7 linked regions of the Ovis aries genome follow. The protein of the gene in region 5 interacts with the protein of the main gene of each other region in a biochemical or structural test. Links are inferred from orthologs where the notes say so. Each region holds a gene or a part of one and is shown on either strand. Other genes may lie near its edges.

The links.
Region 1: the proteins of UBE2D1 (region 5) and DTX3L form a complex in vitro, tested with the Homo sapiens proteins (5 studies listed by BioGRID). The link is inferred for Ovis aries from reciprocal best matches to the Homo sapiens genes UBE2D1 and DTX3L.
Region 2: the proteins of UBE2D1 (region 5) and TRIM63 form a complex in vitro, tested with the Homo sapiens proteins (3 studies listed by BioGRID). The link is inferred for Ovis aries from reciprocal best matches to the Homo sapiens genes UBE2D1 and TRIM63.
Region 3: the proteins of UBE2D1 (region 5) and RBX1 form a complex in vitro, tested with the Homo sapiens proteins (95 studies listed by BioGRID). The link is inferred for Ovis aries from reciprocal best matches to the Homo sapiens genes UBE2D1 and RBX1.
Region 4: the proteins of UBE2D1 (region 5) and SIAH1 form a complex in vitro, tested with the Homo sapiens proteins (3 studies listed by BioGRID). The link is inferred for Ovis aries from reciprocal best matches to the Homo sapiens genes UBE2D1 and SIAH1.
Region 6: the proteins of UBE2D1 (region 5) and RNF125 form a complex in vitro, tested with the Homo sapiens proteins (4 studies listed by BioGRID). The link is inferred for Ovis aries from reciprocal best matches to the Homo sapiens genes UBE2D1 and RNF125.
Region 7: the proteins of UBE2D1 (region 5) and OTUB1 form a complex in vitro, tested with the Homo sapiens proteins (2 studies listed by BioGRID). The link is inferred for Ovis aries from reciprocal best matches to the Homo sapiens genes UBE2D1 and OTUB1.

The regions. Positions count from the first base shown.
Region 1 is NC_056054.1:187,820,983-187,825,142, reverse strand, and holds the start of DTX3L (E3 ubiquitin-protein ligase DTX3L), read right to left. Parts: upstream 2,801-4,160; 5' UTR 2,771-2,800; coding exon 2,581-2,770; intron 1,548-2,580; coding exon 1,342-1,547; intron 1-1,341.
Region 2 is NC_056055.1:240,766,372-240,769,871, reverse strand, and holds part of TRIM63 (E3 ubiquitin-protein ligase TRIM63), read right to left. Parts: intron 3,030-3,500; coding exon 2,796-3,029; coding exon of another isoform or gene 2,776-2,795; intron 1,701-2,775; coding exon 1,678-1,700; intron 1,347-1,677; coding exon 1,222-1,346; intron 1-1,221. UniProt on the Homo sapiens protein: E3 ubiquitin ligase. Mediates the ubiquitination and subsequent proteasomal degradation of CKM, GMEB1 and HIBADH.
Region 3 is NC_056056.1:217,993,073-217,996,764, reverse strand, and holds the end of RBX1 (E3 ubiquitin-protein ligase RBX1), read right to left. Parts: intron 3,623-3,692; coding exon 3,537-3,622; intron 2,897-3,536; coding exon 2,833-2,896; 3' UTR 2,823-2,832; intron 1,553-2,822; coding exon of another isoform or gene 1,490-1,552; 3' UTR 501-1,489; downstream 1-500. UniProt on the Homo sapiens protein: E3 ubiquitin ligase component of multiple cullin-RING-based E3 ubiquitin-protein ligase (CRLs) complexes which mediate the ubiquitination and subsequent proteasomal degradation of target proteins, including proteins involved in cell cycle progression, signal transduction, transcription and transcription-coupled nucleotide excision repair.
Region 4 is NC_056067.1:16,329,749-16,334,007, forward strand, and holds the start of SIAH1 (E3 ubiquitin-protein ligase SIAH1), read right to left. Parts: upstream 2,801-4,259; 5' UTR 2,305-2,800; coding exon 2,214-2,304; exon of another isoform or gene 1,468-2,213; intron 762-1,467; exon of another isoform or gene 702-761; intron 1-701. UniProt on the Homo sapiens protein: E3 ubiquitin-protein ligase that mediates ubiquitination and subsequent proteasomal degradation of target proteins.
Region 5 is NC_056075.1:305,094-309,033, forward strand, and holds the start of UBE2D1 (ubiquitin-conjugating enzyme E2 D1), read right to left. Parts: upstream 2,801-3,940; 5' UTR 2,607-2,800; coding exon 2,583-2,606; intron 1-2,582.
Region 6 is NC_056076.1:25,521,249-25,525,229, forward strand, and holds the start of RNF125 (E3 ubiquitin-protein ligase RNF125), read right to left. Parts: upstream 2,801-3,981; 5' UTR 2,495-2,800; coding exon 2,331-2,494; intron 1-2,330. UniProt on the Homo sapiens protein: E3 ubiquitin-protein ligase that mediates ubiquitination and subsequent proteasomal degradation of target proteins, such as RIGI, MAVS/IPS1, IFIH1/MDA5, JAK1 and p53/TP53.
Region 7 is NC_056074.1:38,767,050-38,771,237, reverse strand, and holds the start of OTUB1 (ubiquitin thioesterase OTUB1), read right to left. Parts: upstream 2,801-4,188; 5' UTR 2,780-2,800; coding exon 2,722-2,779; intron 555-2,721; coding exon 493-554; intron 246-492; coding exon 147-245; intron 1-146. UniProt on the Homo sapiens protein: Hydrolase that can specifically remove 'Lys-48'-linked conjugated ubiquitin from proteins and plays an important regulatory role at the level of protein turnover by preventing degradation.

The sequences.
Region 1 (4,160 bases), on a different chromosome or scaffold from region 5:
AAATCCAAAGTCCTGACCCTCATCCCTCAAAGACCAGACTTCTGCTACCTCTTCAAGGTCCTCTCTCACTCTCTTGCTCTCTGCCCTCCAGCCACAGTGGCCTCCCTCCTTGAAGCTTCTGGGCTCGGGATGTAAGCTCCAGTCTGGGTGTGTTGGGGGTGGGGGTGGCTGTGTCAGCTTTACACTTGTTACTTTCCCTCTGCCTAAAATCTTTTTCCCCTAGAAATCCACTTAGCTAGCTCCCTTACTTTATTCGTGTCTCTACTCAGAAGTCACCTCATTTGAGAGGTTTTTTTTCCCGATATCCTATTTAAAACAGTAGTCCTTTACTATCATTTATCCTGCTTTATGGGCTTCCCTGGAGGCTCAGTGGTAAAGAATCCACCTGCCAATGCAGGAGACGCAGGTTCAATCCCTGGGTCTGGAAGATCCCCTGGAGGAGGGCATGGCAACCCACTCCAGTATTCTTGCTGGGAAAATCCCATGGACAGAGGAGCCTGGAGGGGTACAGACCATGGGGTTGCAAAGAGTCGGACATGACTGAATGACTAAACAACGACAAATTCTGCTTTGTTCTTCTTCCTAGCAGATATTTATCACTGGCAGATATTTTATTCCCTATCTATATGATTACTATTATTATCTGGTTCCCTAGAAGGTAAGGTCCCTGAGGGCAGGGTCTGCTTGTTCCTGGCTGTACCTTTGGCTCCTGTGACAGTGCCTGGCACATAGCAGGCAGCTGATTCTGATTTGTCAAATGTCTCTGCATGGCTGGTCCCTTCTCATCATTCAATTCTCAAGCCAAATATCACCTCCTTAGTGACTTCCGATCAGAAATAACACAAACTCCTTCTCTTTCCTTGCCCCAGCCCTGTCACTCTCTAAGGCAAAACCCCATTATATTTTCTTCTTAGCACATATCACTCTCTGAAATGACTTTAGTTATTTTGTTTACTTGCTTATTGTCAATGTACTTCTCCATCCCCAGCAGGGACCTGTCTGTTGTGTTTATCTCTGTGTACCTCTCAGCTTCCCTGGTGGCTCAGATGGTACAGAATCTACCTGCAATGTGGGAGACCTGGATTCGATCCCTGGGTTGGGAAGATCCCCTGGAGGAGGGCATGGCCACCCACTACAGTATTCTTGCCTGGAGAATCCCCACAGAGGAGCCTGGCAGGGTACAATCCATACGGTCACAAACAGTCGGATACGACTAAGCAACTAAGCACAGCTGTCTTCCAATGTCTACAACAGTGCCAGGCTCATAATAAATCCTCAGCAAATGGTCCTTGGACTGGAGAGGAAGTTGCAGGGACATACATAGCTCCCTTCAATACCCACCTTCTGGAGACAGGAATCCACGTCATTATGAATGTCCTTTACATTTGGAGGCTTCTCATCGTGGCTTGCCCCTTTTTGTGACTGTGTCGAAGAAGACATTTTGGTCTTCTTCTCTTCTGCATTTTCATTGGGTTCCAGGAAAATAGTCACAAGTTGGTTGTCGACCACAATTTGGTGCTCTCCTTTTTTCAACACACCATCCTTACCTTCAGTAGAGATATTAAATATACACATAGAAATGAGAGCAATTTCAAATAACCCTCTTACTCATGCATCTGTACCTTGCCCCAGCACCCTCACAGTAAGGGCTGCTCCCTGCATCCTGGAATGGTGGGTTAACCAGAGGGTGAGGGGCCTATACAAAACTCTAAAAAAAAGAAAGTTACTCAGTCGTGTCCTACTCTTTGCCATCCCATGGACCATACAGTTCATGGAATTCTCCAGGCCAGAATACTGGAATGGGTAGCCTTTCCCTTCTCCAGGGGAATCTTCCTGACCCAGGAATCAAACTGGGATCTCCTGCATTGCAGGTGGATTCTTTACCAGCTGAGTCACCAGGGAAGTCCCAAAACTCTAAAGAAGGCAGCTTAAGTTATATTGTAGAAAGGAAAGCTTAATGATGATGGAATATCATCCACTCTTTAAAAGTCACGTTCCTGAAACTGTCATGAGTTTCCCATTTCAATGTCATGGAATAATGCTCATCACAAATCAAGTGAGAGGAGCAGGAATCAAAGAGTAGATTCAGGTTTATAACTACATATATGTTTGCTGACACTCAGAGGAAAAGGCCAGGAGGAAATACACCAAAATATTCACATTCACATTGTTTTTCTCTGGGTGTTTTCTTCTTTATTATTTTCTCCCCTTTCCTTAGTATCTATAACTCTTGCAATTCTAAAAAACGAATCAATGGAATAATAATGGAAAACATCAAAGTGAAATACCTAAGTGACAGGGGCGTCTGGGGGCGGTACGGGTGCTCTGACAACACGGGGACACTGGCAAGTATCAACCAGACCAGAGACTGGGCACTTCTGGGCTGTGTCCTCTGCGTTGGGGTTGCGTCTGTCAGCAGGAGCCCCCACTTCCTGGCTCCCAACGGACGGTACCAGACTTTCTCCCACCCTCTCTCCTAGATAAGCTTGAACTGGGTCTGCATGGAACGCCCGGGGGGCCCCTCCAGGGACGGCGGCTGCCCCCCCCCCCCCACTCACCAAGCCCCGGCCCTCAGCTCACCCGCCCTTTGCTTGAACTGCACCCGGAAGGTGTTCGAGGTGGGGTCGCTGCGGTCCAGGGCCACGACGGTGCACTCCCCGCCGCCCGATTTCCGGCTCTGGAAGTACTTTTCCAGCTTCCATTCCAGGCGCGTGCCGGGATGGGACACCCGCACGAGCAGCGGGGACGGCGGGCCGAGGCTCGAAGCCATGGCTGTCCGCTCGGGGATGGCGCCGCGAGTGGCGGCGACGCAGCTGGGCCGGGCCGGGGCCGGGGTGCCTCCGCCCCGCCGCTCTGGGGCGCAAAGTTTCAGTTTCGCTTCTCCGGAGATCCTTCTCGGTTCCTGGCAGGGCCGCACCCTCTCCTCTCTTCGCCGCCCTCCTGGCCGCGGACTGCCAGGTGAGTAGGTCCCTTTCTCTGTTCCGCGGGGGGTGGGCGCAGGGGCTTCCCGGGGGTCGTCTCCTGTGGGCTCGCGCCGGGGGCGGGGAGAGGCGCGCGAGGCACGGGCGAGTCCTGGGCTTCCCTGGGGAGAGTGGAGACGGGGCAGATGCTCAAATCAGATAAAGTTTCTCCTGAGTTTGTGATTCCTTTTAACTCTTATTGTTACTGTTATTTGCAGGGAAAATGTAATTCACATTCTAAGTTCAGGTTAAACTTAACCTACATTCCTAAAAATTTGAATTTGTTCACCTGAATTATGCCATATCACCTGTTACCTCTATCTCACTCAGTGCTTTAGACTGGCTCTTGGGGCTTTTCCGCCCTCCTTTCTCTATTTAGCCAACAATGCTGGACTTCACGGGGGCTTCCCTGGTGGCTCAGGGTTAAAGAATCTGCCTGCCAATACAGGGGACCCAGTGACACGAGTTCCATCCCTGAGTGGGGAAGATCCCCTGGAGTAGCAAATGGCAACCCACTCCAGTATTCTTGCCTGGAAAATTCCATGAACAGAGGATCCTGGTGGGCTACAGTCCACGGGGTCGCAAAGAGTCAGACAGGACCGAGCACGTGTGCACTGAACTGCACGGCTGCCCTGTGTACTATGGAATAAAGGTGAGAGCCGAGGTACCACACCTCACCTGCTAGTAACTGGAGTCAGACTTGGGACTCAAGAAGCAAAATCTCTCAAAGCCCTCAAGAGGACTTTGAAGTAAAGCAGAATCTTAAGAGAGAAGGAGAGGGAGGGATGGGGTGCATCAAAGGCACAGGGACTGCCCTATTTGAAGCACAGAGGTAGCACGGAGGCTTTGGAAAGGATGTGATGGATAAGGGAGATGACAGAGGAAGGGTCTAGTGGAATAGAATGTGTCTAATAGAAATATTGGGCTTCCCTGGTGGCTCAGATGGTAAAGAATCTGCCTGCAATGCAGGAGACCTGAGTTTGATCCCTGGGTTGGGAAGATTCCCCTGGAGAAGGAAATGGCTACCGACTCTAGTACTCCAGTATTCTTGCCTGGAGAGCTCCAAGGACAGAGGAGCAAATATAATGTGAGCTACATAGTAATTTAAAATTTTTCAATAGCTAGAATTTTTAAAGTACACACAGGTGAAAATAATTTAGGTTCTTTTGCTCACAGTATCCTAAATTAATCATTTCAGCA
Region 2 (3,500 bases), on a different chromosome or scaffold from region 5:
TTAAGGTGCCTGAGCATCCAAGTTTATAGCATAGGAAGCTGAAGCTAAGACTAGATTTAGGCAATAACTAGTATATGTCCAGTACCCTACACAGGCCTCTGAATCAATGTCTTATTTGTTGCCCAGCATCATTCGGTGGTCATTATCAGTAGGCCCATTTGTAACCTAAGTTTAAAGTGAGGAAATGAAGCTCAGAGAGGTGGAGGGAACCATCAAAATGCCATGCAAGATAAGAAATGGCAGAACTGGGTGGTTCCGTGGTTAAGAATCTGCCTGCCAGCGCATGGAACACTGGTTCCATTCCTGGTCTGGAAAGAGTCCGCCTGCGGGAGGATAACTAAGCCTGTGCTCCAAAACGAGAAAAGTCCATTCACTGTAACTAGAGAAAGCCCGCACACAGCAACAAAGACCCAGGGAAGCCAAAAATAAATTAAAAAAAAAAAAAATAGAAGTTTCTGCCTGATTTTATGAAGTTAAAAGACGCTTGCTCTTTGGAAGAAAAGCTATGACAAACCTAGACAGCATGTTAAAAAGCAGAGACATTACTTTACCAACAAAGGGTCTGCCTAAAAGCTATGGTTTTTCTAGTAGTCATGTACGGATGTGAGAGTTGGACCATAAAGAAGGCTGAGTGCCGAAGAATTGATGTTTTTGAACTGTGGTGTTGGAGAAAACTCTTGAGAGTCCCTTGGACAGCAAGGAGATCCAACCAGTCCGTCCTAAAGGAAATCAGTCCTGAATATTCATTGGAAGGACTGATGCTGAAGCTGAAACTCCAATACTTTGGCCACCTGACGCAAAGAATTGACTCACTGGAAAAGACCCTGGTGCTGGGAAAGACTGAAGGCAGGAGGAGAAGGGGACGACAGAGGATGAAATGGTTGGATGGCATCACCAGCTTGATGGATGTGAGTTTGAGCAAGCTCCGGGATTTGGCGATGGTCAGGGAAGACTAGTGTGCTGCAGTCCATGGGGCTGCAAAGAGTCAGACTCGACTTAGTGACTGAACTGAACTGAACCGCCTGATTCCAAATTGCCTTGCTGTTTCTATCACCCCAAGTTCCTCCCTATAGCAGATCCATACACAGTTTATTGAGCTGGGCTCATCCGGATGTCGACTGTGCAAGTTTGATGGATATCTGGGTATGTTGGGCAGTGTATCTGCCTCCCTGTGGGGCTCAGTGGGAGGGAAGCTGACCTCCAGGGGAAATAATCCCTTACCTGCCCCAAAGTCGATGGTCCTCAGGGTGTCAGCTACGTGCTCCAAGTCCAAAGTAAAGTAGTCCATGTTTTCAAAGCCCTGCTCTATCTTCCCCAGCTGGCAACCCTTGGAAGCTTCCACGATGCTGTGGGGCAGAGAGAAAAGGGGGGAGGGGCACAGTGAGATCTCTGGTTCCAGAGAAGGAAGGAGGCGTGTTAGCTCCAACTTACACCAGGGCACATGCTTGTGTCCACACCCAAGCCTTGCACCCAGAGGCTTCCCTGGAGGGTGGAGTATTTTCCCTTGGGTCACAAGCAGAATAGATGTCTAAGACAGCAGGGATGCAAAGGCTAGGAAAGGTAGCCCGGGGGTAGCCCCTCCCAGCAGAACTAATGCAAAGGAGGAGGCCTTCTGAACATGCCAGAGGCCCTGAGGGGAACTGGGGCCTTGACTCATAGCCCTGGGGAGACACTGACCTTCTGATGAGCTGCTTGGCACTCTGTTGGGGGAGAGAAAGAGCAAAGGGTTAGAACTGCAGAAAGGGGAGCCCCAGGAAATCAGCAAAACCGGGACCAGGCACTGCAGATGCACACTTGGTGCCGTACCCTTGCCCAGCTTTGACCTGTTCATCGGCTTCAGCCAAACAACGTGGATTTTCCCTCTGTCCATGGTCTGGTCTTTATCCTAGGACCCTCCTATTGTGGCAGGAAGCTTGGATTCTAGGAGTATTCATCTAAGCACTCTTAAACACGGAAATCCCCAAGATAAGAATCATATTCTAATCACCTTTTTATACCCGATGTCTAACACAAAGCCTGGCCCACAGTATATGCTTAGGAAATTTTCATTGAACTTAATTCTTCCTTGCAAAATCTTATAGCTGATCCCTTCATGTTTCCCCCAACAAGCTCTTCTAGGGTAGGGCTGTCTCTTTCATCTGTCTCTCCATCTCAGCAACTGGCCTAGGCCAGGTGCTCAGTTAATAGTCTCCACATGGGCACTGTATTTTGCAGCTTGCAAAGCCATTTCACAAGCATCCTTTTATTTGATCCTCATAAAATCAGTTGAGAGGAAGGGAGGGAGAAATTGTTACATGCTCACTATGCAGATAGGGGCTTCCTGGGTAGCTCAGCTGGTAAAGAATCTGCCTACAATGCAGGAGACTCCGGTTCTATTCCTGGGTGGGGAAGTCCCCCTGGAGAAAGGATAGGCTACCCACTCCAGTATTCTTGGACTTCCCTGGTGGCTCAGATAGTAAAGAATCCACCTGCAAAGCAGGAGGCCTGGGTTCAATCCCTGGGTTGTGAAAATCCCTTGGAGGAGGGCATGGCAATCCACTCCAGTGTTCTTGCCTGGGGAATCCACATGGACAGAAGAGCCTGGCGGCTACAGTCCATGGGGTCACAAAGAGCTGGACACGACTGAGTGACTAAGCACAGCACAGCATATACGGATGAGGAAACTGAGTCTTTAAATATGAATGAGCTTGAAATAACTTCCCCAAAGGCATAGTCTTTGGAGATCAGAGATGGAGCCCAACTTGCCCCTTGGAGCTGCTGAGTTGAAGGGCCCACCCCCTCCCAGGACTGCTCACCGAGAGGAAGATGGCGCCACCAGGCTCGTCCAGAGACTGGATGGCCGTCTCCACCAGCTTGGTGGACTTGTCCAGTTGCTCCCGGTACTGCTGGATGAGGGCCTCGAGGAAGCCGAGCTTCTCCTCCTGCTCGCGCGTGATCCGCTGCAGCAGCTCGCTCTTCTTCTCGTCCAGGATGGCGTACAGCACGTCAAACTTCTGGCTCAGTTCCTCTTTCACCTGGTGACTGTTCTCCTGGGGACAGAGATCTCTGAGTCACGCCCTGCAGGTCCTCCTTCCTATCCCCTACCCCTTCCTTCCTGGGATGGGTGTGCTAGGAATGAAGAGTCTAGAGCTGGGAGGGATTTACCACACCCCCATTTTGCAGAACACGAAACAAAGCCTTAGCCGGAAGAAAGCATTTGCTAGGGTTTGCTAGAGGCTGGCGTCGTAGAGAAAGCTACACTTTTCCTCGAAAGTGGAGACTCTAGGGTCAGGCAGGATGACATATATGGGCCTCCTGTGTGCCCCCCAGTCACACTCTTTCTCCACTTTAGGACCAAGACCAGATTTGGGAAATTCTGCATCATTTGGTCCCCAGAGAAGTGGAGAAGCAGCCCCCCACCAACCCCTGGCAATGGTATCCACATTGAGGCTCCCTGCTGTCCAACACTGACGCTACATTTTAGTTTTCTTACCTGTAAACTGGGTATAATAGCAGCATCT
Region 3 (3,692 bases), on a different chromosome or scaffold from region 5:
TCCCTTACTCCTTTCAGAGGACACAGCCCCCTAGCCCTCACAAACGTTCCATGACCTAAGCAGAAGCTGGAGTCGGCTGCTCTGCAACCAAGGGTCTTTATGAACACCCAGGCAGAACTCTGCAAATATGTGACGCCAGCTGTGTGAAAACCATTCTTCTGCATCGCTTAAGTGTTCCTGCAGTGTGAATGACCACCTGAAAGGGGTTTAAAGGAGGTGATTTCTGCCGAGGGTGGAAGGAACATCGACGGCAGCAGCCACCTGGCCCTGAGCGACTGCACTGCTGGCGGCCAAGTGGGGAAGCTGGGTTCCACCCAGGTTGGACCTCAAAGTTCTTATTACTAAGCTAGAGGTTCTCAAACTTTTGAGTCTCAGGATCCCCTTATGATCTTACACACTGAAGAAACCAAAGAGTTTTTATGGGGGTTGCATCCACAGATATTTACCACAATGGAAATCAAACTGAGAAATTTAAAAGATTTTAAAAGAACAAAAACCCATCACGTTAACATAAATATTTTTATTCAAAGTAACTAGTTTTCAAAACAAAAGTTAGAAGAGTGGCACTGTTTTACATTTTTGCAAATCTCTTTTATATCTGACTTAGCAGAAGACAGCTGGATTTGCTGCTCTCTTTTTTCATTCAATACGTTGCTTTGTCTGAAGGAAAAAAAGAAAAATTGGCCTTGTACAGACACGCAGCCGGAAAAGGAACTTCGTGAACCTCCTGAAAGTGTTTCCATTACTCCCGCAAGTCCTCAGCACACACTTTGAGAATCACTGCAGTAAATTAACCCGCCTCTCAGTTAAAGACTAAGAGACTGAAGTAGTGTTAGAACTGGCAGTTCTGTCCACAGCCAAGGCATCTTAAACAAATTACAAAGGGTGGTGGTGAGGAAGGGAAACCTGAATTCTCCCGTTAACTCTAAATGACACTGTTTTCCAATTTGAGTTCACAGATTACTCCATCGCCAGCCAAGATGACATATTAATTTTTTTTCAAGTTAACTTTTCTAAACTAAAATGAGAAAGCAACATGTCATACACAAAGTTAACACCTGTACAGCGTTCTCACAGTTTATAAGGCCTCTTTCTGTGCCCACATGATCCTGTTTAGTCCTTAGCAGCCACTTCACGGAGGAGGAAGAGCTCGGAGCAGACAGACCACTCGCCCAAGATCATCAGCAGCAGCCAGGCTGTGGACCAGGCTTCCTTGAGACCAAGCGACGTGCTCACAGGACGATCCTGCTTTGGCTCTGATGAACAAACACCTCACTTTCAAAACCTAGCCTTCCACCCTAGAAAGGGGCGGGAGGCCCTTTACTTGTGTTCACTTTTTGCACATACACAAAAGACAGCGTCTGTTCTAGAATCCAACTGGATTTTATTTGACACAGAATACAGTATGGCTGCCAGAATAGCAAACTGAAAAGACAAAGCAGAAGAGACACAGTTCTATCTAATTTATAATAAGTAACAGGAGGGCAAGTCATTCAGTGGATAACAAAAACAGTTGAGCTTGATGGAAGAATTCTTTTTCTAGTGCCCATACCTGGAAGACAAAGTAAATTATTAATTCATTCCTTATCGTGATTCCCTGTTTGAGACTGTAACACCTGCTAAAAATATATCCACCAATCTGGTTAAAACTTTGAAGATTGGGTTTCAACCCTTGTCTCTGCCCCTTTCAGCCTACCGGCCTCCTGTAACATTGTCCCTACCACCCTCTTCATAGTGATGGTCCCCCACTCAACTGCACCCACCTGACTCTTTCCTGGTGCCAGGCAGATACTGGGCAGTGACAGGGAGGAGTCACGGCTAATGGCTGTGAAAGGGAGCTGCACTTGATGGCCAGTATGCAGCTAAGACAGCTTGAATCCTCCGCCCTCTTCCCTGTGGGCCGCCTCTTCCCCTCAACTCCCATACTTGGGCTAGTTTAGGGTAAGACCCCTACAGAGGATAGTAACCGAACAGCCTTCAGTGTCAAAATCTATCACCAGTTCCAATTACAGCCCTGAGTCTGCTGAGCACCACCGAAAGAACTGTCGAGAAACTAGCTATGGATCTCAGGTCCTTTCTGATTTCCTCAGAGGCCAAAACTTGGCTCCAGAAAGATTATAACCAATGGTAGGACATTTTTTCCACATGTAAGATTTCTTGAACACAGAATCCATTATTATCTTAATCTTTGGCCATGGTTCTTAGTGGGTAGTTCGCCTCTAATGAAAATACTTTGCTACACAGATGGAGACCAGGGCACCAGAATTCTGCATCACTGTTGCCATCATCCTGAAGGGCTGCTAGATTCTTTAAGTACTCCTTATAAGAAATTCGCTTAAAAATTCCCTAAAAAAGTCCTCACAGGGTAGAGCTCCAGCTTGTTAGTGAGAATAACCTAGAAGTTATCCATCAGTTTAAAGCATGCTGAAATGAAATTTGCTTCTTATGAATTTGTTTTCCCAGGGCGCTCATAACCACAGCCAGGCAAAGTCACCAGCTGGATAAAGCGACAGTGTCAAAGCCTAGCAGGAGGATTCGTCACCCCCCCACTTCTTAGGCTCAGCCCTGGGCACGTGTATGGGCTACGTGAGACAGTTTTGATCCAAGATGGCACCCTGAGCCTGCTCCACGGCACAGTCAATTACAAAGGTCTCTTGAGAACTTCGAAAATCCCCCTTTCCATTAAAAATTTGATAAATTAACTGAAAATTCAACAGATAAAAAAGCATTTCACAGACAAATACAACAGGCATAAAAACATATGAAAAGCAGCCCAACTTTACTCAAAGTTTTAAAAAATACAATTGAAAACTAATTTTCACCTGTCAGTAGCTAAGATGAAAACGTCTGATAACAAAGCACTGGCAAGAAATGGAGGAGGAAGTCTTCTGCTTCACTGTTGGTAGGGGCTGTGAATTAGTACATACTCTTGGGAAAGGAAAAAAATCTGACACTATCAAAAATAAAAACATACATACTCTTAAACCAGAAATTCCTCTTTTAGGAATTACTAGTACAGACTGATCATTTGAAGTTTTGAAAATTTGCACGCCGTGTATTACTTACACGCTACTACAATTAACAGCAGCAACAATAATGATTTAGTTGAGATAGCCACAGATGCTGTATCAGAATTAATCCCTGTGAGATAAACCAATGAAACATGATATAATTCTAGCCCAAAGCAAAGACAGATGACATTAGTTAGCCCCTGGAGCCTTATTCTTGATGTGATTGTGGAAATATTTAATAGCTTGCAAAATGAGAATTTGCAAGCTTCTACTACTACTTCCAAAGACCCTACCTAGATGGCTGGGAAACTCCAGGCTGCAAGTTTCTAATGCTGGTTCACCTTATACACTTTCCACAGAGACGCGTCCTCATCTAACTAACCGAAAGCTACTTTATGAACCAGCCATGTTCTATGTCTTCATCTTCTAAAACTGTGCACCCTCCAGCTTGACGTGGGTCCAAGAACAGTACTGACCACAAAGCCCAACCTTACATACGATGTCGAAACAGCCGGGGACACCTACTTTTGGAATTCCCACTCTCTGTTGTCCAACGGACACACCTGCCGTGTTTTGAGCCAGCGAGAGATGCAGTGGAAGTGGAAAGCATGCTGGAAGAAAAGATACATTTTATTAAAAATAATTCTGTGCAGGCTCAGCCGTCTACGGACAATATATCTC
Region 4 (4,259 bases), on a different chromosome or scaffold from region 5:
AATGGACTACATGGAATAAACGCTAGAACAGAAACCTGGATCCTAAACCACTAAGGAACACTGTATAAACAGTTTAAGTTCAATGAAATCAGTTCTGACTGGAATTTCCCCTGCCTGTGTTCAACTGCCCTGCTCATTCTATTTCTTCCCCATTCTTAAGTCAGCTGTTGACAGCCTCAGTGAGTTATACATGATCCAAAGGATCACCAGGGTACTGGCTTCTGATTACTCTTTCTAAGGGTGAATATTATCTGCTAAAGAGATCTATCTGGGGAAGGGAAGGTCTCCTGCCATCCCATCATCCATCTCCATGGAATGTTAACCCCAGCTAGATCTTCATCTTATTTCCTACCCATCTGTGGCCCCCTTCAAAAGTGAGGAAGCATATAGGAGAAATAGAGGACCACCCTCTAAAAGGTATGAGTCTGGTATTCAGAACTAAATCATTCTGCTCTACTTCCGCTCTACAATATAAATCTGGTATAATTTGCAAAGAGGAAGGAAAGTCAGGAAAAGATAAAGAATAAACAGTATCAGAAAGACACAACATTAGGGGTGAGGGACAGAGTCAACAGGTAAAGAATTCCTTATATTCTATTATAGAGTTCACCAGAGTTGCTGAAGCATTCATCAGCACAGTACTAAACATTATTTAAGAAATAAATGCCATCTGGAAAAAATGATCAACAACGTTAACTAACCTGTCAAGCTGAATTAAAGATAAAACAAGCGCCTTTTCCCAGGATGTAGTGCACTGCTTTCTTGGGGATGACAAAAAATCAGTCCATTAATGTCCTAAGAGTATATACTCAATAACCACAAGCCATATCTCTACAAAATCAAAATTTAACAACTCCTAAAAGTTAATGTTTCCTTAATTATAATTGTTATTCTGTTAGAATTCAACGTTGAAAAACTAATGCTGGTTATCAATGAGACCACATAAATGCAATTTGGATTCTATTACTCATAGACAGGGCATCCCAGGTGGCTCGGTGGTAAAGAAGCCACCAGCCAAGGCAGAAGACACAGTACCGATCCCTGGGTCGGAAAGGTCCCCTGGAGGAGGAAATCGCAACTCACTCCAGTATTCTCACCTGGGAAATTCCCATCGACCAAGGAGCCTGGTGGGCTACAGTCCACGGAGTCACAAAGAGTCAGACCCCAGGTACTGATCGACTGAGCACAAGCACACACTCGCAGATTACTCAAGGACAGACACCTTAAATGGGGGTTGAGAGTGAACCCTCTCCCCCAGGAAACCCCAAAATAGGTCAATTCCACTGTCACTAAAGGAATATTCTAGAGTTCACGGGGAAACAAAAGTATCACAAGGATTCTATCATAACATGGCTCATCGCATAGATTTAAGACAACAGGAATCAACTCTCATCACTGAAGCCCTGTATAACCAGTGTTCAGCCCAACAAAAACACTATAAAGGAACTTTCATGAAATCCAGTTTACCTCTGAGATTTTTTCTGCATATGATGATCCATGCATTTTATTTTAGGTCACTAGTAAAACAATGGCTTAGCATTGCTGAAGTGTCCCGTATGTATGCTTATTTCATGGTCCATTTTATGCGGCTCATTTAAGAGAGCAACATAGTAACTGGGAAGTAATTCCCTGGGCACAAAATCTAAGCTGATTCCTTTCAAATCACTAAACCAAAACCAGCTGGTCACTAAACTCAGTTTGTATTCAACATAATATAACTACTAAGCAAGAAAAATATTACTGTTTAATTTTGTGACCTAGAAAAAGTTATACATTTATCAATAGTCCAGATTCACATTATAATATACATCATTATTTTCCCAAACATACAAAGCACAACTTAAAATTACTATTCAAAGTGTGAAAACAAGCAAAATATGGCTTCAATTTCTGGTGAATTTAAGTATTACAGGACAGTAGCTGCTAAAACTTCCCAAAGTTCGGCAGGCGGAACTCAGTCCATCTTACACAGAAAAGTAATCCACACACAGCACAGCAGCCGTGCAGTAGGAACCAAGGACTTAAGTGTCTGGACAGCTCTGCAGCAGTCATGACATAACCCGAAGTTTGGTTTAAACTGAGAAAAGCACAGCTGATCAAAAGAAATCACTGCCTGCTCAATTTTGTTGCAGCAATTCCCTGGTCCGTTTCAGAGGCTCAAAACAACTTTCCCGTTCCACAGTTTAAGCAACACAGTCTCTTAATAGCAGTACCTTTTCTCTTCCTTGTCCCAGATGCTGGTAAACAAGTGAGCAAGATGCCTCTCCAGGAGTACAGAAAAGGTAAGGGAGACTTCCCGGTCATAAGTCAGAGAGCTCATAGCCTTTCCCCCAGAAGCAAAGACAACTTGCAACGGAGGGCTCTCCTGGATATCTTCTGTTACTAAACATGTCCCGGGTCTAGTTTTCAAAAGAAGGCACATGCCCTACTCCATACACTCCATTCACTCCTCAGAAGCACTGGCTACTGAAGAAGAGAACTGATGCCCCCTCCTGTTCCAAGAGGAGTCGACCACACCTCCCCAGGAGCTGAAATTTGCCTGCGTCTCCAAAAATGGGAGCCATTGCTGAGCTGTCCTCTGCTGGGCCCTAAACCTTCGTCTGTCTCGGAAGTCTGTCTTCCCCAAATTCATCGGCTAGGCTCCTGCCAGCTCGGTGAAGAACAGGGCAGAAGGGTGCGTAGAGGCCACTGGTCGACTACGTGCGCTCTCGGTGCCAGCTCAAGCTACTACTGCAGGATCCGGCCCGCAGGAGGGAAGCCTGCGCCAACGCAGTGCCAGGGGGCCGCAGGCTCTCTCTGCACAGGGCGGCGGCTGCCGCGGATGGCGAGAGGCGGGGCGGCGTGCGGGGGCGGGGCTTAAGGCTCCGCCCCACTCCGTCTGGGGCAGCTCCCAAGCGGCTCCTGGGCAAGGAGCGTGCAACTCCCACCCAGGCACCCAGCCGAGTAAAACCCGGCGTAAAACCCCCCCGATCCTCACTCCCCGGCGATACTGCGCAAGCCATCAGCTTACTAGAAGGCTGAACTCCATTTCTGTAGGCCCAAACAGTCGGATATGGGCAATTTTGCATGGTTTCAACCCAAAGGTCTACACAGAATATATGGGAAATACGCGACCAGACAAGCATCTCTGCACTATATTCTGCCAGTTAACCCTGCGGACGCTAGATTTTTACAAAGTAAAAGCATTCTCCGTACTTCGTTCAATAACTATTTGACGGGCGTTAACTACCTTATCTCCACAACTGTAACTCGCTTCTCCATTTTTACCACCATCTGCACCTTAAACTCCTTCTCCCTTCGAGATTTTGTAGTGAGAGTACTAAGCACACATAACCATATTAAACTCCTGCTTTAACCCTCAAATTTAGATTTTATTCTCTTCCCACTCTAGGAAAACCATCTTAAACGGCCTCATTAAACAGAGTAGCTTGTTTTGTTTTTAAATAAGCATTACCCTTGCCCCAGTAAAGTCCAGGGCCTCCAATCTGCATTGCGTCAGCTCAGGCATTCAGAGGTTTAACCTGTCATTACATCATGCTTAGTGCAGCCTTTAAAGGCACCAAGACCTGGTGTGAGTGTGAACCCTGTGCTCTAAATTGGCCATTTTTAGCATAAAATTTTAACTCTTGATCACTTCCCCACCCTATTAGTAGTGTGTTCAATCACCTCAATGTCATTTTGGTATTAGGCTACAGAAAACATCATTAGGAACAGAAATATAACTGAAAAGTCTGTTCACTGAAAAATATAAATTACAATAATCTATGTTTTAATTTTCTAATACATATTCATTCTAAATAGGTCTCAGGTTTCTAGACCAGGAGACTCCAAATGTTTTAGAGCAGAAAAACTTCAGACAGATTTAGGACAGAGTCCAAATTTGTAAAAACAAGTAAAAGGGATGACATTTCTCAAGCAAAAAAATGTTTTCCCAGACTTCCAAAGAACCTATACAAAAAGAACCTATATACAAAGAACCCATACCCAGATCCTTACAGCACCATCTAAAAATCATTAATCTGTGGACAAACCTCTGAGTAAGTGAGCCAGGACAGTAACAATGGAAGTGTCTGGAGTCATCTGCACTCGAATTCAAACTCAGCCTTCACCACCTGGCTCAGCTGTAAAACTGGGACAGTATTTCTAGCCTTGCATGGCTTTTGTCTGGATTAAGGAAGATGGGTAAGTTATATATATCATAGGTGGCACAAATTCCAAAATATGTAAGTGCTCACTTACACAGTTCCAAAAGTTAACTT
Region 5 (3,940 bases):
GAAAAACTGTGAAGTCATGACCTTTTTAAAACACGCCAAATCACTTCTTAAGAGATTAACTTGGACAAAGCACTCCACTCGAAACCTCAAGCTCCTTCTCTGAACAACAGTGAGTAGACTAGAATGTCAGTCAGTGGTTCATGACCTTTCTTCCACAGCAGCCCATCTGAGGGACTCACCAGCATCTCTCCATTTACAGCAATGGTTCATTCAGTTCAGTGGCTCAATCGTGTCCAACTCTTTGCGACCCCATGGACTACAGCAGTGGGGATGGTCTGAAATGTCCCATGGTTGATTCTGATGTACTACCCTAGAAGCTGTTCCCCTGCCTTTCACTCTTGAAAGTACTTTAAGGTTCTGCACAGTTCCAAAGCCTGCCACTGTAGGCCCAGGAAAATCGCAACCCAATGACCTTATCTGACAGTGTTACTTTAATACATTTTAAAAGAGAGGCCAAAAGTTAATAACATGGATTCTTTTGTTGAAGCACGGAAGATTCAAAAAGAATTTATATACTGATGATATCAAAGAGGGCTCTGTAACTTAACTGTTCACATGGCAAACAGCATACCTCCCCTGGAATTCACTTCTCATCAAGAAGGTAGTAAAGAAAGAGAAAATGTGGGGAATCAAACAAAATACTTCCTAAAGTTGAGAGTGGTCTGAACAAGTGATCAATGGAAAAGAGATCTGTACAAATCACTTTTTTTTGGTAACAGAGAAGGGGAGCCAAAGATTGACACACAGAGATGGGATGCTATGTCATATCCAATTTTTTTTTTTTTTAACCAGACAACTCTGTTATAAACTAATAACTAATAATGACTAAAAATATGATTTGGGTATATGCCATATTATAAATACAAGCCAAAGACATTGGCTCAGCAAGGAGACTGATACATTGCCCAGGACACTTAACAGTGTCCATTTTCTGTGAATGTTCACTTACTGTCGACAAATTTTACACTATTTGAAGCTACTATACATGTAGTCTTGCAAAAAACTCTTACAACTAGGGAAGAAGGAAATGGAATTTTAAGACTTCCTTGGAAAATGTGTGTTTACCTCAAATGTGAGCCAACATTACATCATCATTTAAAAGTACACAAGGCATGGCAAAGATGCTGAGTGGGGTTTCAAAATTAGAATCATGTATATGAAAAAAAGTGTGTAACTGCATTATCTTCAAATCAGAAAACATAGTAATCAACACATGCTGATTTTAGCTATGTGCTTTACCGTGAGAGTAACCTTAACAGGCACAAAAAATAACAGTATTTCTCAGATCTCGGATCATTTGACCCCTCCCCATCACCACCACCACCAAATTGGCTGGGTCAGAAAGTTGCTGTCCTCTGTACCAGAAGATGACATCAATGGTAACTGAGAATACAATGTATACTTCCCTATCACTGCCTTATTGATTCGTGCCAGAAGAAGTTGATAAAAATTTTTTTTGGTAGTATTTCTTCTGAAATCCTTTAGAAAACATGCTGTCCATCTCTGGCTTAACTTGCTGAACGCATTTCTCATTAAAAAAACAAATTCTCAATGTTCTCCACATGAACCATAACAGTAAAGCCTAAAGCTTGTGAAAGGGAACAGACTAAATAACCCAACAAGAAACAAAAGTGAACAGAAAGAAAACGCCCCAATCTCAGGTCTGTAACATGTTCACATTAGAGACGGTAGCAAAAAGCATTCATGAGAAAACAATTCCTTACACTGAGTTGGGACGGAAACATATTTGTTTAATGTATATAAACATTTCTTCCTCATTCTATACCCATGTGTCAAAGCATGGAACTATCTAATTTGTGACAGTTTCTGTTGTGTCTCAAACTTTACATATAAGTTTATCATGGCGAGAAAAAAAAAAAAAATTGCTTGGCTTGACTCACCATGAATCACAGCCAGGAGGTCATCTTGTTGTGTATCAGCAACTATGTTTTCACTACAGCTATGTGACCTCAAGTGGCAGCAGCAGAGGCACCAAAATAGAAGGGGCAGGAGGCTTCTCCTGGTTTCTCGGTCCCAAATGGGCTTTTCCAGCCCATTCGGGCATCTGAGCAAGAGCCAACCGCAGAGGAGAGAAAGAACAAACCCAACAGCTCCGCGGAGGAAGGTTGCAGGCCCACCACACCTTCCATGCCCTCCCGGGAGCAGGGGAAGGCAAAATCATAAAAGAGGACAGGTTTCAGAAACAGCATGAAGAAAGCAGCATGACAAGGGCCAAAGCTAGCCGGGTGTAAGGCAAAATCCAGTGACCCAGCGGCACATAGGTCTGGAGGTCTGGAGACAGAAGCAGCTCTCCTGCCAGGGATCCCCAGGCGCAGCTCCGGCGTGAGAGCACATCGGGCCCCCTGCCTCCAAGCACCTCCAGCACCCGGGACCTGTCGCTGCTCCCACCTCACCTGTCGGGTGCCCGCTGGCCCGCCGGCGTCTCTGGCCCCCGGTCCCCGCCCTAGCCCATCTTCCCTGCACGCTCCCTCCCGGCGCGTCTCTCGGGACCACCACTGGGGTCAGCGTGCGCGGCGAGCCGAAGCCCGCCCCGCTGCCCCAGGCCCGGCCCCGGCACTCACTTTCTGAATCCGCTTCAGCGCCATCGGTCAGGGAGGGCGGCTGGGACACTGGCCGGCGGGGGACGGCTGCAGGGCTCGGGGGCGTGGGGTAGTGCGGGCTCGGATCGCCGGCTGTTCGGCTGGCTCAGCCGGGTGGGTTCCCGGGTCGCTGCTGTCTGGCTAGCTCTGGGCGCGGGTGCCTGCTCTGAGTGAGCCCGAGCGCTAGTGTGCGAGTGTGCGGGCGGGGACGCCGGCGACACTCTTTTGTTTCCGCTTTTGCTTCTGGGAAGGAATCTGCGGCCGCCCGGCCCCGCCCCCTCCCGCCAAGCGTACTGGGAAATGCAGTTCCTGCATCCTACTCGGCCGCTGCCCGGTTCGGAGACCTTCACCCACTGCCAGGTCTGGGTTAGTCTCTGCAGATGGATTTCGATCAAGTAACTGAAACTGGAGTTCCCAACCTGTAAAATGAGAATAACAAATTAGCTCGAAAAACATGTACCGGATTCTAATGTGTGCTACATCTTGTAATTTTTTTTTCATCTTCCCTTTTTCTGTTACCAAATCCTCTTATCAAGAGTTAGAGTGCCCTAGAGTTCCAATCTCAGACCTCTCGCCATTAATATCTTCCTAGACGACAGACCTAGTGTCCTCCCGTAAACTGGAAGGCCACCCAACATAGCCGGAGAAGCGTGGGGTTTGTGGACTGACCCCTCTCTTGGGATGGAATCCAAGCTCTGATCCCTATCCACTGTATGACCTTGTAGCACTTAAATTCTCTAAGCCTCAGTTTCTGCGTGTCCAAAGAAAAATAATCTCCATATATTATTGTAAGAATTAACTGATATTAATATGATGTGCCAAACACACTACCTAATATGTTGAAAATGCTCTATAAAAATTATTTCCTTGTTTTTATGTATATGATAATGATTTTAAGATCTCTCTTTCCAGCCAAACTCTCACCGCAGTTTCAGCATTTCATGTCCAAAAACTTCCTGGACATGTCCAGCCTTCTTCCCTGTGGCCAGGAATCAGATTGTGTTACAAGGCGAGGGTTGGAAGAAAGCTTTCCTGGAAACCCTAAACAATAGCCACCATACCATTCTAAATGCTTACAAAGAGCAAGGAACAAAAATCCACTCAGGTAACTTAAAAGAAAATGTTCAGGGAAATAAGATAGTGAAAGAATGATAGAAATATTAATAGAATCTGAAATTTAATTTAGAAGCCTCTCATTCTACCTTCTCACCACCCTCTACATCGAAAATAAACATAAAAACTAAAACCAGTCTGGAGTCTGACTACTCTCTTATTTTCCTTTTCCTGAGATCTTGGTTCTCTCTGCATGCTGGCCCACCCTCATTTTTCCAGCTCCCCCT
Region 6 (3,981 bases), on a different chromosome or scaffold from region 5:
GTTTTACTCCATCACAGTACATACATACGTGCAACATTACAACATTAATGTGCAACATTACAGTACAACATTCAAGGTATTGTTGCTATATTATATTTGCTCAACTTGAAACTGGTTTATAAACCAAAATTAGCATAAACAACCTAGGTTAATAAGTTTGGAAATTAGCTTAAGTCTGGGATAATATAGCAGTTTCATTTCATTTCCTCATTTTCCAATTTAAGTTCAATGGAAGAGAGTAATTCATTTAGGAAGTACAAACGGCGTTAGGCGGGCTCACAATCTCCAGAGCAGAAGGGACTCTAGTTAACACTGACAAAGTGGAAGAGGCCCAAGTAAATTTGCCAAAAGTAGGAATATGGAAATTGTGCCCATAGCCAGAACAATGGACATAGCTTTGTCAAAACAAAGAACAATAAAGTGAGGGAAGGCGATTTGTCCAGCCCTTGTGCTACTTCATGGCTTTTTTTCCCAGTTGCTGGTTTCCTATTCACTCTAACAAAGAAAAAGATTAAACACAGGATTTAACATTTCACAAGTTTTTATTACCCTTTAGCAGAAGCAAAACACTGCACATACTAAGCTGCAGCATTCAAAAATCCAAACTAAGGAAAACCGTCAGATAACAATCTCCAATAGCAATGCTGCCCGGTTCAGTCCCACAAAAGAAAGTCGTCCAGACTTGATGCCACGGTGTGTGTTCCCCGCAACTGAAAAGCTTTAACTCTGATACAGACTAGGGATCGAACCCGCGCCTCTTAGGTTTTCTGCATTGGCAGGCAGGTTCTTTACCGCTGAGCCATACAGACTAAATTTAAATGTAACTATCCTGAGGGTTTACTGCTCTGAGCTAATCAATATATTTCATACATGATACAATAACGTCTTGGCTTCTATCTTGACCTCCGGGGAATTATGTCAATGTGGACGGCTAGGAAACTACATCAGGTATCAGGCAGGACGTAAATTAGCCTTGAATTTAAAGTACAAAGCTGAAACGACAGGCCCTGAAAATACAGCCACAAAATAATGCCCAGGGGCACTCTTGCTTTGAACATTGTGTGGGCAGCAGATTTTTATCCCTGGTTCTCTGCTGGGCTTTTCGGAGTTGAAAACTGTTTCTCAAATGCTAGGCTATAGGTGTCAAGGACCATCTAAGTCCTTTTAAAGACGTTTTGTGCACTTGCATTCATAATTTATGACACTTCTTTTTTCCCCGGTAAGCCAAAAAAGCACTTACTGCCTCGGAGCTTCATCAAACTAGTCGGTGATCCAAAGAAGGCATTAAGTGGGTTTTCACTCAGGCTCTATGAAATCTGCCCCGCCCGGCCCCCGCCAATCTCACCAACACGCCCAGTCACACACCCAATGCATCCACCGGAAGAAAGCTTTTTAAACGAACAGAACACAAACTCACAGACCCAACCCCCAACTACTAGTTACTCAGGCACACGTTAAAGAGGTGCCAATTTTATACAGGGATTTTGTTTTTAAACTCTTCCTAGAAACGACCACAGCTGTGCGCTCCCAGAGGGTTTTCGTTACAAAGCGTGCATGTGGTTTTTAAGACAGTTATTTTTATCCCTACTTCCTACCGTGTGAGGGGGCGGTGAGCAACGCAGGTAGTCAGCAACCTCCGTCACTCGGGTGACTGGGCTTTAAAAGGCTGCGTTCACAGGCTTGGGGGTAATATTCAAGCCCCAGATCCCACCCTGGCGGCCACAGAAAGTCACTGGGACTGTCCAATCTGACGGTTCTTTGAGAGACCTGGGCGTCTGTGTCGGGAAAGGGAAGTTGGGGTGGAAGGACACTTTGCACAGATCCTTGCCTGCTCAACAGACCAGCCTCGGCAGGCGTTCTGGACCACACGTGCACAGAGCGAGCAAACCAAAACCAACTCCGGCTCCCGGCGGAGAGGGAAGCGCCGCGCGATTAACCGAGGGGAGCGGCCACTGCGCTCCGCCGAGTCCCCGTCTGGGTTCCCGGCGCGTGCTGCTCCTCCACCCCTGCGCACCCTCCTCAGCTCGCCAGCCCTGGATCCGCATCCCGGGGGCTCCACACCTGGGCTGCCAGAGGAGGTGGCTCTCGGGAGCGCTGTAGGACCCGCTGGTTGGTGTTTCTCCCCCCTTGAAATCCTGTGTCACTTTCCGACTGGGCACTTTCCCAGTGGTCCGCCCTCGACGGGCCCAGGTTTCTCCTCACATCAGTCTCCCCGAAGTGCTGTCATCTCAGTCCCCCATTCCCACGACTCCTCTAGCATCACCCACCACCCCCCCGACCCCCGACCCAGGGCGGGGAGGGCGCGCAAACCCAGCTCCCCTGGCACTTACACATGGCCACAGCGGGTCCGAACGGGGTGGTGCAACACCTCCAGGCACACAGAACAGTCGAAGGACGTGACGGGCAGCTCAGGGTCCCCCCGGCGCTCCAGGGCCCGCGGGGTGGCCGAGGCTGGCGCAGATTTCCCGCTATCGCTGCTCAGCACGGAACCCATCCCTGCACCTCCGGCCCCAGACGGTCGCCAAAAGCTCGGTGCCTGCGGCCGGCTTGTTTTGTTGTCCTGCGGTGGAGGAAGGAAGTCCCGGCCCAGCTGCGATCGCCGCCTCCCCGCGCGCCCAGCCGCGCAGCCGGGGAGCAGCCTCGGTCGCGGCGCCCAGCCTGGGTCTAAGGCAGGCCGAGTACGCGGCCGCTTTCGGAGTGAACCTCCCTCCGCTCGCTGCCCGAGTCTAGGCTGGGAGGCGGCGGCGGCGGGGCGCACGGTGCACGCCAGACGTCCCCGGGCCCTGGAGGATTGAAATCTGACACCTCAACTGCAGAGCAGAGGACCTGGGCTGGCGGTGAACCTCGGCGGCAATCGCACGACTCCTCCTTCCGAACCACTAGAGCGAGTGAATGAAAGTGCGGGCGTGGTCTTCCCTGAACGCAATCGGAGAACACCCACTTGTAAGGTGATGGTCCTCTCGGTCTTGCAATGTAATGATTACTGCTGTAGCCACAGAGAGGATCTACGAGCGTCTCCGAAGAAAGTGCTAATCACTACTTCCGTCATCTAACCAACCCTCCATAAATGGAGAGGTAGCAAGCTGTAGTGGGAAGAGTTCTTGGAGCTGAATTGAGTCCCACCTCTAGGATAGGGATTCCAGCGCTAAGTTCTAGGAACGTCCCCCTCCCCCCACAACCGCCCCTCCCCCCAACCTCCGCTGCCCGCTCCCCGCCCAGTTTCCTCACCTTAGGATCTCTTGCTGTTGTTTGTACTCCTCTCCATCCTCTTTGAATATTTATGACCAAATACACCAGTTATTAATTCACGCATTTAATAAAACTTACTGAGTGCCCACTGCGTGACAGACTCCGTTTTGGTGATTGGGGACACAGTTTCCAACAAGCAAAAATCACAGTTCTCACAGAACTTACTTAAAAAACATTTTGGGGGAAGATAATCATAGATTCAGGGTTTCCCAGGTGGCGCAGTTGCTAAAGAATCCTCCTGCCAATGTAGGAGAGGCAAGAGATGCCGGGTTCCATCCCTGGATCGGGAAGATCCCCTGGAATAGGAAATAGCACTCCACTCCAATATTCTTGCCTGGAAAAATCCCATGGACAGAGAAGCCAGGTGAGCTACAGTGCATAGGACTGCAAAGAGTCGGACACAACTGAGCACCCACGCAACAGCAACAATTATAGATTCATATTCTCATTATTAAGAGAACCCATAGTAGTACATAGTATGCATATGCAATACACACATACAATAATAAACAATAATCCTATACACTTCATCCAGTTTTGCCCATATTTTACTTTTAATGAGACGATATAAGGAATCAACAAATAAATAAATAAACTTGTTCATTTCAGATAATAAGAGCCAAGAGTAAGATAGAACTGGGAATGGAGATTGGGGCAGTAAGCATAAGAAGGTCAGGGAAGACTTTTTGGTTTTGGTGATATTTGAGTAGAGTCATGAATAATGAAAAGGAG
Region 7 (4,188 bases), on a different chromosome or scaffold from region 5:
AGACTCTGCCAACCTGTGAACCAGTGACCAGAGGGCTCCCCAACCGTCCACCCCTCTGAGGCCAGGCCCAGCCAAGCGCAGGTATCAAGTGGCCAGGCTCCTGCCCCCACCCGAGGGCTCTTCCTGTCCCCTGGCCAGGCTCCCACCTTGATCTTCTGTTGATAGATGTTGTCATCCTCAGCATATTCTTTGTATAGGACAGAGAGCTCCAGCCGCTCCGAGACCAGTGGGTTCTGCACAGCAATCTGTGGGATGGGGAATCCATTACACTCTGACAGGCAAATGGAGTGACCCACACCTGTCAGCCCGAACATCTAGCTGAGAGTGGCTGGGCCAGTCACCCAGCGGCACATGGACCTCACATTCTCCCCATAAAGGCATCTAGTATCAGCTCAGCCTGGGGAGGAGGGAGCTTCCACAGTAAAGACAAACGGTAGGCCTCAGTCCAACCAATGTATCCCCAAAGTAAGGCCACTGGCCACAGCCACTCACCTCTTGCTGAATTCGGTCCTGCTGAGCCATGATGGCTTCATCATAAGCAAGACAGTTAACACCTGGAAAAAGGAAGAAGGCCAAGTATTACAGTGGGCCCTGGCTCTCCCCACTCCAGGAAGCTGGGCCGAGGACAAGAACGGGCCAGGAGAGCAGACGTGCAATCTGGAAGCATGCATCATGCCCTGCTCCACCCCAACTGTGGGATCTTGGCAAAGTCCTTCCATTTCCTGGGCATGAGTTATCTCATCTTTAAAGGGAGGAGGCCAGGGACTTCCCTGGAGGTCCAGTGGCTAAGGCTCCGAGCTCCCAATGCAAGGGGGCCTGGGTGTTAGGTAAAAGACGACCAGGACACCAAAAGAGTGTCTAACAGGCTTTAATGGCGAAGCGCTCCCGGGCGGGGTTCCCGGACCCGCCCAGAACGTGTTAGAAGTTTGTTTATATATGCACGCTGCGAGGGATGGCCAGGTTAGTGGATGGGGGTTTGGATAGGTTGCCGGGCCGAGGCGTCACGGGCTGATACGTCCTTCTACGTGGCGGAGGTGGGGCAGCTTTAGCTGGCAAACTGTGCTGTCACTGGTCCCCGGGATCTGGGAGGCCCCTTCCTTAGGGACTTCCCCCGCCGACGGGGGAGGGAAGGGGCGGCCCATCATGGCCCCCCGGGGTCCGATCTTACACTGAGTTTGATCCTTGGTCTGGGAACTAGATCCCACATGCCATAACTGAGACCTGGCACAGCCAAATAAGTATAAATAAATGGTGGAAAATAAAGTAAGCAGGCCAAGGTGATCGCCCCCCAGGGTACACTCTTCCAGCTCGAACAAGCCCTCTCCCCCTGCTCTCTAACATCACTTCCGAGCAGCCCGGAAGGCCCCTGAGCCAGGTCTATTGAGGAAAGACAGATGAGGAAGCAGACCATCTTCGGCTAGATGAGCGCTTTGCTTTCCTCAGTCACACCATTCCTCCACCTGCCATCCTGGGTATTCGTAGTGGTGCCCATTTTACAAAGAACAAAAACGCAGACAGGTGAAATCACCTGCCCGAAGTCGCGACGAGGAAGACCTGTGGTCAATCCCAGGTTTGTCTAATTGCAAAGCCTGGGCTCTTTGCCACAATAACTCCCCTGGCACCTCACTGCAGAGGCTCATCATCAGCTGTGAATAGAGACAGATAGCACCACCTTCCTCCCTTCACTGTGATGCCCTGAGGAGATGGTACCTTAAGAGGTGTAGTTCAATACTCATCACTGAGTTGGGCGGGTCCACCCTGTGGGCCCCATGCCAAGCAGCCACTGGTGAGGAGCCAGGAGACCTGAATCCTGGCTCTGGTTCTTTCTTAACTTACACGATCCTAAACCAGTCCCTTCGGGGATTGGGGGGAGGGTCTAGGTCCCCAAAAGCTGTTTTTCAGTGTGCGGTTAGAGAGGGAGCTGTGTGCTAAATGACTTTTAAGGCCAATCCTTTTGATCTTGAGCAGGCCGGGGCCTCAGCTGGGCTTCCACCCACCCCCGACACTGCACTGCAACTGGGCCATCCCTCCCAACCCTAGTGACCTCCTCAGTCCCCAGTGTCTAACTCAGGGGTGAAAAGAAGAGGGTGGGACCGTTTTGAGAGGTCCAACTCTTCAGGGGTCTAAGGAAACTATGCCGAGACAGGAAGCAAGGGGCTGCGAGGCTAGGAGAGGGGACTCTACCGGAAACGAAGGGCGCTGCCCTCCTGGGCACACACCTACGGCCGCTCACAACCCCGGGCGGCCCGCAGCATCCCCAGCGGCCCGCCCAGTCCTTTGTGCTCCGCAGCCCGGCGTAATTCGACGCCCTCCCGGGCTCGGGCCGCTCTGGAGGAGGCGGACTAGACGGGGCCGGACTAGGCCCGGGCCTGACTGCCAGGTCCGGGGCGGGAGAGCCGGGACCCGGGAGCCGGACGCCCAGCGGGGAGGGGGCTGGGCGGGGGGTGGAGGGGCGGAGCGGCCTAGGCCCCGCCCCAGGAGCGCGCGACAGGGAAGAGTCGCGGGCCGGAGGCCGGCCCGCTTTCTCTCCCGCCGCCCGGCCGGCCAGGGGTCGCGGCGGCGGCTCCTTCCATTGTGAGGGGGAGGGGAGGCGGCGGACGCGGGGGAAGGGGCCCTCCGCTCGCTTCGCCGCCAGCCGCCCCAGCCCTGGTTTCCTCGGGAACCGGCCATCCGGCATCGCCCCCGCTAGCCCAGGCCGGGCGGCTCTCCCCTGGTCGGTACCTTCGGAGTCGCTGCCAAGCGGCTCCTGCTTCTGCTGCTGAGGTTCCTCCGCCGCCATCTTTAAACAGCGCCGCACTGCCGACCGCTTCCGGGTTACTAGTCGGCCTCCCCCCGGAAGACAGCCCCTCCTCGAGGCCCCTCCTTGGTAACGCCCCTAGCAACGGGATCCCCTCGGGCGTAGTCACCCGAGGGGCTCGCAGTCTCGTTCGGCGGCGGCGGAAGCCGGGGAAGTGAGGGCAATCCCCGCCCGCCCTCCTCCCGCACACTTGCTCGGTTCCATCTTTCCAGGCTCCCAATGTGCCAGGTGGTGATAAGAGCTTCCTGGGGCCACTTGAGTTTTCTTTTCACTAGAGTTTGAAACGCGGATTGTATTATTGAGATAAGCAGGAAAATGAAATTCAAATCACGGAAGGCAATTCCCGCTGCGGGCTCCAGAACTCAAGACAGGCGAATGCAATGAGGATCACTTGGCCGAGGAGACCGGGAATTCTGCTAATATCCGAGCTCTGGGAATTCACCGCCCCCCTCCACCGAGTCTCGGTTCCGAGCGGGCTTTGGTGTCCTGCTTCTGACCGAGAGACCACGTCCCTCGGGGTCGACCTTACTTTGGACTACCTGCCCTTGTGGTTATGAGAAAATCAGGATTTTTTTTTTTTTTAAGATAGAAGTTGACAACAATGAAAAACAGATTCGTGGTTCCCAAGGGTTGAGTCGGAGTAAGGAGGGAAGTGGATGTGGTTATAAAAATGAAACAGAAGTATCCTTGTGGAGACAGAAGTGCTCTTTATCTTGAATATATATGGAGATCCTGGAATATGCTGTACTGTAGCTTCAAACGCAAGATGTTACCAGTGGGGGAAAGTGGGTAAAGGATACCCAGGATCTTTCTGTGTACTCTGTTAAAATCACCTGTGAATTATCTAAAAATAAAACTTAAAAAGTGTCAAGGCCTTGGATGCTGAAGATGCAGTTATTTAGAGAAGTCACCTTCAGGGGTACTGTTCCTTTGCCTTTCTCTATGGAGGGCCTTTTCCATGATATGACAGTGGTCTCTTAGCACTTGAGGAGGCCGTGTCTGAGCCCCAATCAGATCCCTCCGTTCATGATAATACAGGTGCAGAATAGGATGAATATCTTCATGAGCTACATCCAGTTCTGGAGTAGGGACGGTTGGTGCCTGGGCTCACCACACTGCCCACAGTGGCGCTCTCACAGCAACGCTACACATGCCAAGTCTTTGCCCCAGCAACATGGCAAATTACTATTTCCTAGGTCACCACCAATCCTTGTGTTTGCTTCGAAATTCAAGGAAGCAAAGGGGCTACCCATTTGGATCCCACTCCTACCACACTGGGCTTCTCGGGCGACACTAGTGGGAAAGAGAAGCCTGGCAGGCTGTCTATCGCCCAGAGTCACAGAGTCAGGCATGACTAAAGCCACTTAGCGCAACACACACCCAGAGTACAC